Linked DNA regions of Rattus norvegicus. The protein of the gene in region 2 purifies or fractionates together with the protein of the main gene of each other region. This does not show direct contact. Links are inferred from orthologs where the notes say so. Each region holds a gene or a part of one and is shown on either strand. Other genes may lie near its edges.

Region 1 (3,652 bases), on a different chromosome or scaffold from region 2:
AAATCTTCTTTAGAACAATTGTTCACATATTCTGGAACAGATCAGATCAGAACAGATCAGGGAGCCATGCACTGCTACCATGAGGTGCTGTTGAATCTGATCAGATGATTAAGGTAATAATCCTCAGATTTCTCCACTATAAACCTTTTTTTGGGCAGGGGGGGGAGGGTGCTGGAGATTGGACCCAGGGCCTCATCCATCATTCCTATCCACCATCAGCCCTTAATCAACAACCTGCTGGATTTCAGACTGTCTGATACCCTAAGGTGTCAGCCTTTGACTTAGTGCTCAGTTCTGACAAGGTTTTTGTTTGGTTGGGTTTTTTTTTGTAGGGGTGGGGTTTGCTTTAGTTTATTTTTTTTTAGTATTAATCTAGATGTACTAAATAACAATAATATTGTATATGTGGCAAGTATACAAGAGGAACTGTAACACCTACTTTAAGATATATGTTTTGTAATTTCACGTGTGTGTGTGTGTGTGTGTGTGTGTACACTTCCTCTTCTCTGCCCCAAAGGGCAGTTAACATCATAGCCAACAGGCTGCATGTGTCTTGGTTCTTACCTGTCAGCTTACTGAAGGCTTCCATGTCATGAATGGCTGTGGAAATTCGAAACTTCTTCCCTTCGGTCCCGGTAATCTCCACGTGGGGGTCTGCTTTGAGGAAAGCTTCGGTAATCCTAAAACCATTGTTTAAAAACACAGAGGACATTTTGAAGATTTACTTTACATCTTGCTCAAAAGGATTCTTCTAGTTTAAGAAAACAAATAAGGCGCTATCTACGTTTGAAAGACAACTGTTTATGACTGTGAGTTGCATCCCTAGTGTGTTCCAGGCACTATAGCAGGAATTCAGAGGTCTTAACTTGCAAGCCTACTGTGTTCTAGGCTCTACAGCAGGGGTTTAAGGGCCTTGAGTTGCATGCATACTGTGTTCCAGGCAGGACAGCAGAGCTTCAGGAGCCTTTATCTCATTTGGTTTTTCCAATAATAAGTATACTCAGCCCCAATTTTATAGGTGCAGAAACAACATGATTTTCCTTTAAACAAGGTCAGAAGAAGTGTATTAAGCTTCGAACTAAAAGCTCTGACTCTGAACTGAAAACAAAATTACCTAAACTCTTTTCTTCCCTTGAGACAAGGTCTCAGACTAACTTTAAGGTTGCTACATACCTGAAATGACCTTGAAATCTGCCTGCCTGCCTGTCTGTCTGTCTGAGTGCTGGCATCGCAGACATCTGCTATCATATTCACTTTACTTTTTTTTTTTCCTTTTTTTGACAGAATTTTTCTACATAGCCTGGCTATGCTGGAACGTACTTTGTAGACCAGGTTGGTCTTGATCTCACACAGATCTGCCTACCTCTGCCTCCAGATGCTGGGATCAAAGGTGTGTACCACCATGCCTGGCTTCTGCTAGGCTTCTTTAATGTTATACAGCTTGCACTGGGAATGCTAATGTGGCAAAGCACCGTGTAAACTTTTAGAGTGAGGTAACGCTGATGATCTTACATTATATCGATGAGGTTGCCGATTTTGTGCTGATAAGCTCTGCGGTGTAAGCAGTTGCGTGTGTGGAACATGTCGTACAGGTTTCCAACCTCCTGCAAGGAAACAGACATGGAATCGCAGGATCAGATTGTGTCTACCTTTGTTTGGGATAGGATCTCACTGTGTGGCTGTCCTGGAATTCACAGACATCCACCTGCCTCTGCCTCCTGTGTGCTGGGATTAAAGGGCCAGTATGCAGAAAGACATTTCCTATAGTGTAGTTCCATACCACTTCTTAAGCTCCATATCATCCAGTAAGGACCTAACAGGGTTGAAATTCCAGTTTTGTATATTATTTAACTCAACCCTTCTACATATCTCACTGACCTCTCCTGTTAAATAGCAAGGTGTGGTTTGTCCCACCGAAACCCACATCCAAATTCAGTCCCTAAAGTAACATTGGTGAGAGAGTGGGAGGCCCTTAAGAGGCGATAACACTATCACAGCTCCGATCTCATGATCCCGTGAGATGACTAGGTTGGTTTGTGGGAGGAGGCTGTTATGAGGCCAGCCTGACACTGCCCCTTCCGCTCCTTGGCAGCGTTCTTGTGTGCACTTCTGGCTTTTACCGTGCAAGGAACAGCACAGAAGCAGAGCAAATGCTACTACCATGCTCTTAAACGTCCTCTGGCAGTATGAGGTAGATAAACCCTTTTCTTTATAAATTGCACAGGCTCGGGTATTTCGTTATGGCAACAGAATGCAGACTGAAACCAACGAAGTGATAGCATACACATAGGGTCATGAGGATCCAGTTGGCCTCTCAGGAACACTCGAAGCCCACCCAGCATAAGACTCAATAAACGCTGGATTTAATTTTATTATTATTGTTATTGCTTAACAATGTAATGGGGGGTGGTGGCTGCAGAGATGGCTCAGGGGTTAAGAGCACTGACTGCTCTTCCAGAGGTCCTGAGTTCAATTCCCAGCAACCACATGGTGGCTCACAACCATCTGGAATGGGATCTGATGCCCTCTTCTAGTGTCTGAAGACAGCTACAGTGTACTCACATACATAAATAAGTAAATTTTAAAAATGACAGAGCTTTAAAAAAAAAAGAAATAGAAGAAAAAAGTGTTAAGACACTTAGAGGCTAAGCATTAAGATGGGCCACAGAGATGGCTTAGCAAGTGGAATCTGCTACTCCATGATAGGCAAGGCAGGCTGCCTGCGCCTCAGCTCCAGGGCACGTGATGCCCTCTTCAGGCCTCTAGGGGAACACGTGCTCATGCACAGACACATAATTACAAGTGATAATAAGTCTTCTGTTTTAAAGAGTTTGTGGGACTAACGAGATGTCACTAGTCCTTGCTGCACAACCATGGGGACCTGGGTTCTGATCCCAGCGTCTATGTAATAAGCTGGGTGTGGTCTCCTGTGGATCTGCAGCCCCAGTGAGGAGGGAGACAGAAGCAGGAGGATGACTAGTAAACACCCATGAGGTGTAGGGGGAGAACCGGAAGTGAGGGGTAAGGCAGAGAGTGCTGCAGGAGCGCAGCCTCTGTGTGCACTCCCTCACACGAGTGTGCAGAGCAGGCACACACACAGACCACACACATGCACATGATCTAAAAAGTCACTCACAAGAAATAAAGGGGAAAGAGAAGAGGAAGGAATTGAAAGAAAGGAAAGATGGCTTCTGGATTCTTCCAGATTTCTGGATGATTATCTCCAGATTCCAGATGGAGAACTGTATTCTTATGGAGCTCACCTTTTCTCTGGTACAAATGTGCTTCACCTTATGTGCCCGGGTCTCGTCGTCCACTTCACAGATACGGGCAAACTTAATGAAGCGCTTGTAATCAAAATTATTTTGGATTCCAAGATGGTGACAGTCTCTAGAAAGTTCCAAAGCAGAGATAAGAAACATTTCAGCAAGGAAGCTGCCTTAAACACAGATACTACATTTCATTTCCTTTCTTTTCTTTCTTCCTTTCTTGTTTTAACTCTGAACCAAGTTTCAGATGTACCAGCTGACAGAACGCTGGTCGGAGACTGAAGAATATGCTGAGGGGCACAGGGTGATAACTGAGCCAAAAGTCAGTGGGGAAATTTTCTGGAAGATGTTAGGGGATTGGCTACAGAATAAAAGACTAGAAA
Region 2 (4,344 bases):
ATTTTGGTAATTTCCAAATGCTCTTACGAACATCTCCCAAGATCCTTTTTTTAAAAAAAAATTTATTTATTTAATGTATATGAGTACTCTGTTCAGACACACCAGAAGAGGGCATCGGATCTCATTACAGATGGTTGTGAGCCACCATGTGGTTGCTGGGAATCGAACTCAGGACCTCTGAAAGAGCAGTCAGTGCTCCTAACCACTAAGCCATCTCTCCAGCCCCATCTCCCAAGATCCTTAAGGAAAACCATAAAGGGACTTACCTCATGAGTGTAAGTACGGACAGGGACTCCAAAGGCTCTTGCTAGTCCAAAGTCAGCCAGCTTGATGGACCCCTCTGCGTTGATAAGCAGGTTCTGGGGCTTAAGGTCTCGGTGCAGGACACGGTGAGAATGGCAGAATGCTAGGCCCTGGAGCAGCTGGAACAGATAGCTCTGACAAAGGAGAGAGGGAGGTTTGTTTCATCAAACAGATATGACTTATTCTTTATCCTCAAAATTCAATATGCTGGGCTGGAGAGATGGCTCAGGAGCTAAGAGCACTGGTTGATCTTCCAGAGGTCCTGAGTTCAAATCCCAGCAACCATATGGTGGCTCACAAGCATCTGTAATGAGATCTGATGCCCTCTTCTGGTGTGTCTGAAGACAGCGACAGTATACTTATATATAATAAATAAATAAATCTTTAAAAAAAATTCAATATGCTGCACAAGAACTATACCATATACTTGGGGAGGGGTTCTTTAATTCTTTAGTTACATTTTATTTGTTTGTTTATTTATGGGGGCAGGGGCATGCCACAGTGCATGTGTAGAAGTCAGAGGACAACTTGCAGGAGCTCCTTTTCTTCTTGTGTGGGACCTAGGGATGGAGTTCAGGCCGTCAAGTCATTAGGCTTGGAGGCAGGCGCTTTCACCACTGAGCTATCTTGTCAGTCCTGCTTGTTTTTAAAGATACTGTCTTTCTGGCCTGGAACTTTGTAGCTTGGCTGCCCTTGTACTTACATCCTACTGCCTCAGCCTCCCAAGTGTTAGGATTACAGACACAAACCAACACACACAACTACAGCATAACCACACCTTTAATAGCGATGTCTTTCACTGAATTTTCAGCCTGGCAAGGATATAGACCAGATACTACTCAACTTTTGCATCCCTTTTTTCAACCCCCGTGTCTAGCAACACTGAAGGTGTTAAGTGACTATGTGTTGAGTAGGTACTTGCTGATACATTCAAAGTGCTTCCAGGATCCAGCCTAGCTTGAAAACAGACCACAGAGACTCACTGATTAGTTTTTCCCACACCACAGGTGGGAGAATTTATTTCAAGGAACTCATCTACCCTCAATCTCCTGTATCTGAGTGTTATCTGATCTCCTTCCTGCCTGAGCTGCCTTGGTTGGTTCACAGGAGCTCAATTTGGATTCTTCTGTCCATTCTAGGGTTAATGACTAATGACAGGAAAGGGGGGAGTGTGTTAAAGTCAGAAGTCTGAGGGGAAAAAAAGCCAAAATAAATCATTACTAGTCCGAATTACCTGCTTCTAGTTTCCCCTAAAGCGTGTAGGCTAGACTTGAGCAGGATTACCTTGATGAGGGGAAGAGGAATGCCAGTGAGAGCAGAAGCATCCATAAACTTCTTGAGGTCCTGGTGCAGGAATTCAAACACCAGATAAAGCTTATTTTCTGTGTGGATGACATCCAGCAGCCTGCAAGGGAAGTTCCAGGAACCAGAGTTGAGGGAGAGAAATTGTGAGGCCAAGCAAACAGAATTCATCTTGGGGATCATCCCTCAGAGTAGACTTACTTGACGATGTTAGGGTGATTGAGCTCCTTAAGGAGGGAGATCTCTCGGATGGCAGTACTGGGCACACCTTCAGTCTCACTTGGAGAGGTTGGGGAAACAGAGGCGGGAAGACGGTTACAAACATTATTCTTTCAGGGATACACAACCCCCAAACCCATTAGGAAGTCAGAAAGGAAAGGTGTTGTCAGGGGTTAATTCCTGGGTAGTCAGGGTGTGGCTTTTAGACAATATTCAAGGTCATTATTTCCTCTTTTTCCAGTGGAAGATAAGGGAAGCCTCCAGGTGAATAAAAAGCAGAGGAAAGGTAATAGCGGAGGGGGTTGAGAGTAGCTCCCAGCCTCCCCAGAGAACCAGTGAATCTCAACTGCCATTCTTTTGAAAGAGGGTGAGGGTTCTAAGTATGGTGCTGGAGTAGTGAGAAGAGCTCTCCACTCAGAAAGGAGCTTTTCTCTGGTTCCCACATAACCCAACTCCATGAACAGCCCTGGATCCTACCTCAGCTCCCACCTCCCACTTTCTCTTCCCAAGTCTCTCGGCTTGCAGATCTGGGAGCACACCGGGAGGAGCACGACAAGAAACTTTCCCCTGAATTCTAGCCCCGGACAGTCTCCTCCGGGAGAGCGTCCACCGTCCGCCAACCCACCGCTCGCTTCAGGAGTCCCTCCCCGCCACCTTCCGGTCCCGGGAGGCTACCCGCCTGTTTGGGTAAGGGGTTGGGGGGGGGGGCAGCCAAGAGGTCCGGGCAAAGGAGTTCCGGCTTCGGAGGCCACTCACGTGTCGAGCCGGATTTTCTTAAGCGCCACAACTTCTCCCGTCAACTTGTTTTTGGCTTTGTACACCACTCCGTACGTGCCCTCTCCAATCTTCTCCACCTTTTGGAAGTTCTCCATGGAGCGCTAGTGAGGCGGCTCAGGCCCCCGGGAGCGGGGCCCGGGAACCCTGACGAAAGCGGGCCGGACACTCGGAGCGGAGGACCTGGGGGCCCGGGTGAGCACGGCAGCCCTAGCTCGGGATGGAACGCAAGCAGAGCTCAGCTCTTGACAATTTGTCCAACTTGAAACAATGTTGCCGCCTCCCCCACTGCTCCAGCCTGCCATCCGAGGCCCCGCCCCTCCTTCCCGCGTTTCCCTGGCCCCGCCCCCCGTCCTTCCGATTGGTTCACGTCACGAGGGCGGACCGGACCCCGCGCTCCCGCCTCAGAGGCCCCGCCCCCGGCAGGCGAGCGGAGGGGCCGAGGCGCAACTTTCCCCTAGTTCCTGGTTTAGGTTCCGCGGGCCAGAACTGGTGTTGTTTCTGGTCTACGGATTTTTCTTACCTTTCCCTCACAATTTTCACCATCCCTTGGGTGAGATTAAATTCCACCTGGCCAAGAAAGTCTCTTTTAAAAAACTAAACCTGGGAATCTTTAAAAGAAAAAAATACGTATTTTAAATTAGGTGTGTGTTTGCGTATCTGTAGGTTTTCACGGAAACAGCAGATCCCCGGGAGCTGAGGTCCTGGGCGAACTCTGGTCTTCTGCAAGAGCAGCTTGTGCTTTCAACAGAGGTGCCGTTTCTCCAGCACTCCCACCTGCTTTTCTGAAACATCTCATAATGCAGCCCTTGTTGGCTGGAATGCGTTCAAAAGTCCACGTTGTCTTCAAACTCACAGAGATCCGTTTGGCTCGGTTTCCCGGGTGAGGCCATGTGGAACACGAATTCAATCTCTCTCTCTCTCTCTCTCTCTCTCTCTCTCTCTCTCTCTCTCTCTCTCTCCCTCTCCCTCTCCCTCTCCCTCTCCCTCCCTCCCTCCCTCTCCCTCCCCCTCTTCCCCTCCCTCCCTCCCTCTCCCTCCCTCTCTCCCTCCCTCCTTCCCTCCTTTTTCTTTCTTTTCTTTTTCCCAGACAAGGTTTCTCTGTGTAATCTTGGCTGTCCTGGAACTCGCTCTGTAGGCCAGGCTGGAAAATCAATCGGGACTCTTATTGTAAAGGATTCTTTGGCTAGATAACAGAGTCGTTTCTCAGCCTAGCTTAATACTGTCTCACTGTTTCGGGGTTCATTGGCTGCTTGTGTTGTTTCATTGCTGGCAATCTACACTCCCAGCCCCTTCTGGCTGCTTTTGGATAAAGGTGCTGTTTCTGTCTTAAGGAACTCTTTGGTTTGACTCAATTCTCTTGACTCTGCCTTGCTGAACTGTGACTGTGAAGTATATGAATTGCGGCTGCCCATCAGCGAACTCTTTCCAGAATAAGTGTGTGTCAGTGAATGTGACCCAGTGAAACCAGACACTGTCATTGGAGCAATGGGATGAAATCAGTTCCGGCCCTTTCCTTCTTCCCAGGTTTCCCCTCCTCTGGAGGGAGAGGAGGAAGGCCTATGCAAATGAGCATCCCCTTCTATATAGGGGCTCATTCTCACCCCCTGGTACCTTTGGCTGCTGAAAGGAGGACCAGTATGGGTGTCCAGAGAAGGTGCTTCCTTCCTGTGCTTGTGCTGGGTGCTCTGCTGGCTTTGGGGTCTATAGAAGGTGAGTGTGTGTGGTCAGGAGCAAGTGCTATTA
Region 3 (3,652 bases), on a different chromosome or scaffold from region 2:
ACCCTTGTCTAATTTTAAATTCACTTCCCTGTCACTTCCTAAACTCCTAGCTACCTACATACATTATGCATAGACTTGCCTACATGGTCCCCTTAATACTCCTCTTCTCCCCAAAATGCCTTGTTCTTCCCAGTGAAAAGCTTTACCTGTCTTTCAGAGCCCAGGTAGGCATTCTACCCCTTTCTGGAAGCCTTCCCTCCCTCCTCAGTCCTATACATTTCAAGAGAGTTCAGCATGGGAAGGGCCCTGGCCTGTGCATACGGCTCTGCTAATGTTCCTTTGAGCGAATAATCACTTCCGACAAGGAGTATCTGTTCATGCATCTTATGATTCCTTAAAGAACATGAGTATGGGGATAGGTCCTTGGCTTGCAAAGCGATGATTCTTAGCCTGGGGAGACTCTGAGAACCGTGTCAGGCTTAAGAGTCTCTCTCCCCCTTCTCTTGTTTCAGGACATCAATGCTTACAATGGTGCAGCACCCACAGAAAAGCTACCATTTCCCATCATCGACGATAAGGACAGGGACCTTGCCATCCTGTTGGGCATGTTGGATCCAGCAGAGAAGGATGAAAAAGGCATGCCCGTGACAGCCCGTGTGGTGAGTCATAGCACTGTGTAAATGCTTGAGCCAGTCCAAGAGGAAAATGTACAGTCGTGAGACAGCTCCTGATTGTGCCCTTTATTACACGCTGTACGTATTAATATGTGGCTAGAATATTCAGTTAAAATTTCTGTTTAATTCGTAGCTGTACATAAATAAGTAGTACATCCAAAACTGTTTTTCTAGAGTTAAAAAAATCGTATGTCTCCTGCCAGCTGTCCTTAAAGCAATTCTGACAGGACAATCTAGAACTTTCTTATAGGTCGTTTATTCACTGGGGAACAAGCCTACTCTCCACTCATACACAGCCCGCGTTAGTGACGTATTTATTTATATAATAAATTACAGCTCACATTCATAATAAATATGTCCACGGTAAGTAACCATCCTAGGTGAACTAGGACCTCTACCTGAGGCTGAACCCCGAGGTTGCATTGCAGTGCTTTTCTTCCTGGAACAGCAAACTTTGAAGAATACATAGACAAGAAAGCGCCCTGTGACCCAAACAGAACCTTGTCCACTCACCCACTCCTTTGTTCTGTTTTTATTTGTTTATTTGTTTATTTATTTATTGCATCTTGGATCACTTAGTGACTCCAAAGCTTCCTGGGGGCTTTGTATCAGACTTTAAAACAGTGAACCCCAAAGAATCTCCAGGAATCCCGTGCTGGAAGGGAAAGGCTAAGGCATCCACACCAAGTGGGAACTTTCTCTTTCCTCGAAGGACGACATTTCCCACAGTCTTGAGGGCTGTGTGAATGGACGTGTGCGAGCTTCTGGCTTCTGGTTCATCTGTTCTATGACTGTGTTACACGGGAGCAAGGTAGCTTAGCAGCTGAGAGCGTTTGCTGCCAGACCTGAGGGTCTGATTGGATTTCCGGGACCCACATGGTGCAGGAGAGAACCAACTCCTGCAAGCTGACCTATGACCTCTATTCTCACACTGGCACAAGTATACACCCACACCCTCACACACAAAAATAAGTTGCTTTTTTGTTTTGTGGTTTTGTTTTTTTGGTTTTTTTTTTTTTTTTTTTTAATTATAGAACTCTAACTATAGAACAACCCTTTCACAGGGGTCACGTCATATTCTGCATATCAGTCTTTACATTATGATTCATAATTAGCAAAATTACAGTTATGAAGTAGCAACAAAATGATTTTCTGGTTGGGGATCACATGAAGAACTGTATTAAAGGGTCACAGCACTGGGAAGGTAGAGAAACCCCTGTGTTAGAGGAGGGATGGACAGACTAGAAGGAGTCTCCCTCCCTAGTTTGGCTACCTTGTAATTAATGACCATTTTCCTTTGCCGGTTCTGTTTTCTTATTTCCCTGAAAGAGGTATCGAGTTCATGGACCGGAGTGTCCAGAAACAGCTTTACTGTCTTGTACTAAAGACCGCCCATGTGTGTTTTACAGGTATTCATTTTTGGCCCTGACAAGAAACTAAAACTGTCCATCCTCTACCCAGCCACCACGGGCAGAAACTTTGATGAGATTCTCAGAGTGGTTGACTCCCTCCAGCTGACAGCATCAAATCCAGTTGCCACTCCAGTTGACTGGAAGGTAAAGCGCTCAAGAACTAGATGGCCAGCTTGTCGGAAAGATCCAAAGGACAGTCTCTCATGGCCACCTTCAGGATCTGGGATTCTTGGGGCTGTTTCTGTTGTCCCAGTATAGTGTACCAGGAGGATTTGTTTCAGAGATCATTCACACTGTTTGCATAAAAACTGTGATTTTTGCTAACCCTACATCATAATTCCAACATGTAGGTCACAATGATCCCTTTTTCATCTGGAAGTTAAGCATTCCTAATCCAAAAATCCCAGCTCCTCAATGCTCCAAAATCCAAAACTTCTTGAGGACATGATGCATTTCACATTTCAGTTGTTGGAGGTTAGGGGTGTTCAAAACTAGGAGGTGCACATACTCCATATCCAAAAATGCCTGAATACAAAACATTTCCTTTTCAGATAAAGGATACTTAACATAGACAAAAATTTAAAAAGGCTTACATCTATTACCTGATGAGCAGAATATTTCTCGTTGGGGTGGTACTCGTGGTCCTTGTATTCCAGAGACCAGGCCTGGAGGATAAGCTCTTGCTCGGCCTAAGCTACCTAGCAAGATCCCATCTCAAAAATCAGGAAGAAAGAATCAAAGCTTGATTGGCTGCTTCACCCATCACAGTGGCTGGTTAACTGGTGTGCACATGTTACAGCATTTCTCTTAAGCTCCAACACAGATAGATAGATAGATAGATAGATAGATAGATAGATAGATAGATAGATACATACATACATACATACATACATACATACATACATACATACACACACACACACACATAGATACATACATAGATACATACATAGATACATAGATAGATAGAGGTGTGTGTGTGTGTGTGTGTGTGTCTGAGACTTGCTCAGAAAGGTGTGGGATGTATGTGTCATGGTCTCATGTAACCCAGGCTGGCCTCAAAACTTGCCGTTTTGCCAAGAGTGGCCTTGAGTTTCTGATCATCTTCTGCCTCAAGTGCTAAGATCTCAAGCATCTGTCACCATGCCCAGTTATACATGGTCCTGGGAACCTAGGGCTTCATGCATGCCGGGCAAGCACTCTTCTGAATCAGTCCCCTCCCCTTTAAAACAGCTCAGTGTTTACCATAGGCTGGCCTTGGACTTAATCTGCCTCAGGCTCCGGTGTGCTGAGATTACAGACATATACTACCACCACCCCCAGATTGTTCATAAACTTGTAATATACCTAGGAAAGATCTCTGCAGATAAGTAGAACAAGACAGTACACCTAGGAGTCTTAGCATTGCTTTCTGCTCTGTGTGTTAACTTGAGTATTGGGTTTTGATTTTTCTGCCAGGCAAGTCACCTACATTTTTCAGCAAATGGGGTGGGGGATTGGAGATGAAAGGGAATCTAGCCTGATCCAATCCAATAGGATCTGTAAATGGGGTGTGAGTGTGTGTGTGTGTGTGTGTGTGTGTGTTTGAATTAAACTTTAAGGAGTAGTGGCCAGCTATGATGGAAT

The links. Proteins that work in one complex are often made in the same cells at the same time.
Region 1: the proteins of Cdk2 (region 2) and Samhd1 purify together in Homo sapiens (affinity purification with mass spectrometry; 3 studies listed by BioGRID and IntAct, counting the BioPlex papers as one, with this or other methods). This does not show direct contact. The link is inferred for Rattus norvegicus from reciprocal best matches to the Homo sapiens genes CDK2 and SAMHD1.
Region 3: the proteins of Cdk2 (region 2) and Prdx6 purify together in Homo sapiens (affinity purification with mass spectrometry; 3 studies listed by BioGRID, with this or other methods). This does not show direct contact. The link is inferred for Rattus norvegicus from reciprocal best matches to the Homo sapiens genes CDK2 and PRDX6.

What each region holds. Positions count from the first base shown.
Region 1 is NC_086021.1:166,190,311-166,193,962, forward strand, and holds part of Samhd1 (deoxynucleoside triphosphate triphosphohydrolase SAMHD1), read right to left. Parts: intron 3,391-3,652; coding exon 3,264-3,390; intron 1,605-3,263; coding exon 1,513-1,604; intron 681-1,512; coding exon 565-680; intron 1-564.
Region 2 is NC_086025.1:1,719,033-1,723,376, forward strand, and holds the start of Cdk2 (cyclin-dependent kinase 2), read right to left. Parts: upstream 2,847-4,344; 5' UTR 2,697-2,846; coding exon 2,581-2,696; intron 2,519-2,580; exon of another isoform or gene 2,302-2,518; intron 1,885-2,301; coding exon 1,807-1,884; intron 1,709-1,806; coding exon 1,588-1,708; intron 438-1,587; coding exon 267-437; intron 1-266. Other genes in the region: melanocyte protein Pmel 17 precursor, read left to right, coding at 4,239-4,311. UniProt on the Homo sapiens protein: Serine/threonine-protein kinase involved in the control of the cell cycle; essential for meiosis, but dispensable for mitosis. Phosphorylates CABLES1, CTNNB1, CDK2AP2, ERCC6, NBN, USP37, p53/TP53, NPM1, CDK7, RB1, BRCA2, MYC, NPAT, EZH2.
Region 3 is NC_086031.1:76,062,532-76,066,183, reverse strand, and holds part of Prdx6 (peroxiredoxin-6), read left to right. Parts: intron 1-452; coding exon 453-599; intron 600-2,023; coding exon 2,024-2,170; intron 2,171-3,652. UniProt on the Homo sapiens protein: Thiol-specific peroxidase that catalyzes the reduction of hydrogen peroxide and organic hydroperoxides to water and alcohols, respectively. Can reduce H(2)O(2) and short chain organic, fatty acid, and phospholipid hydroperoxides.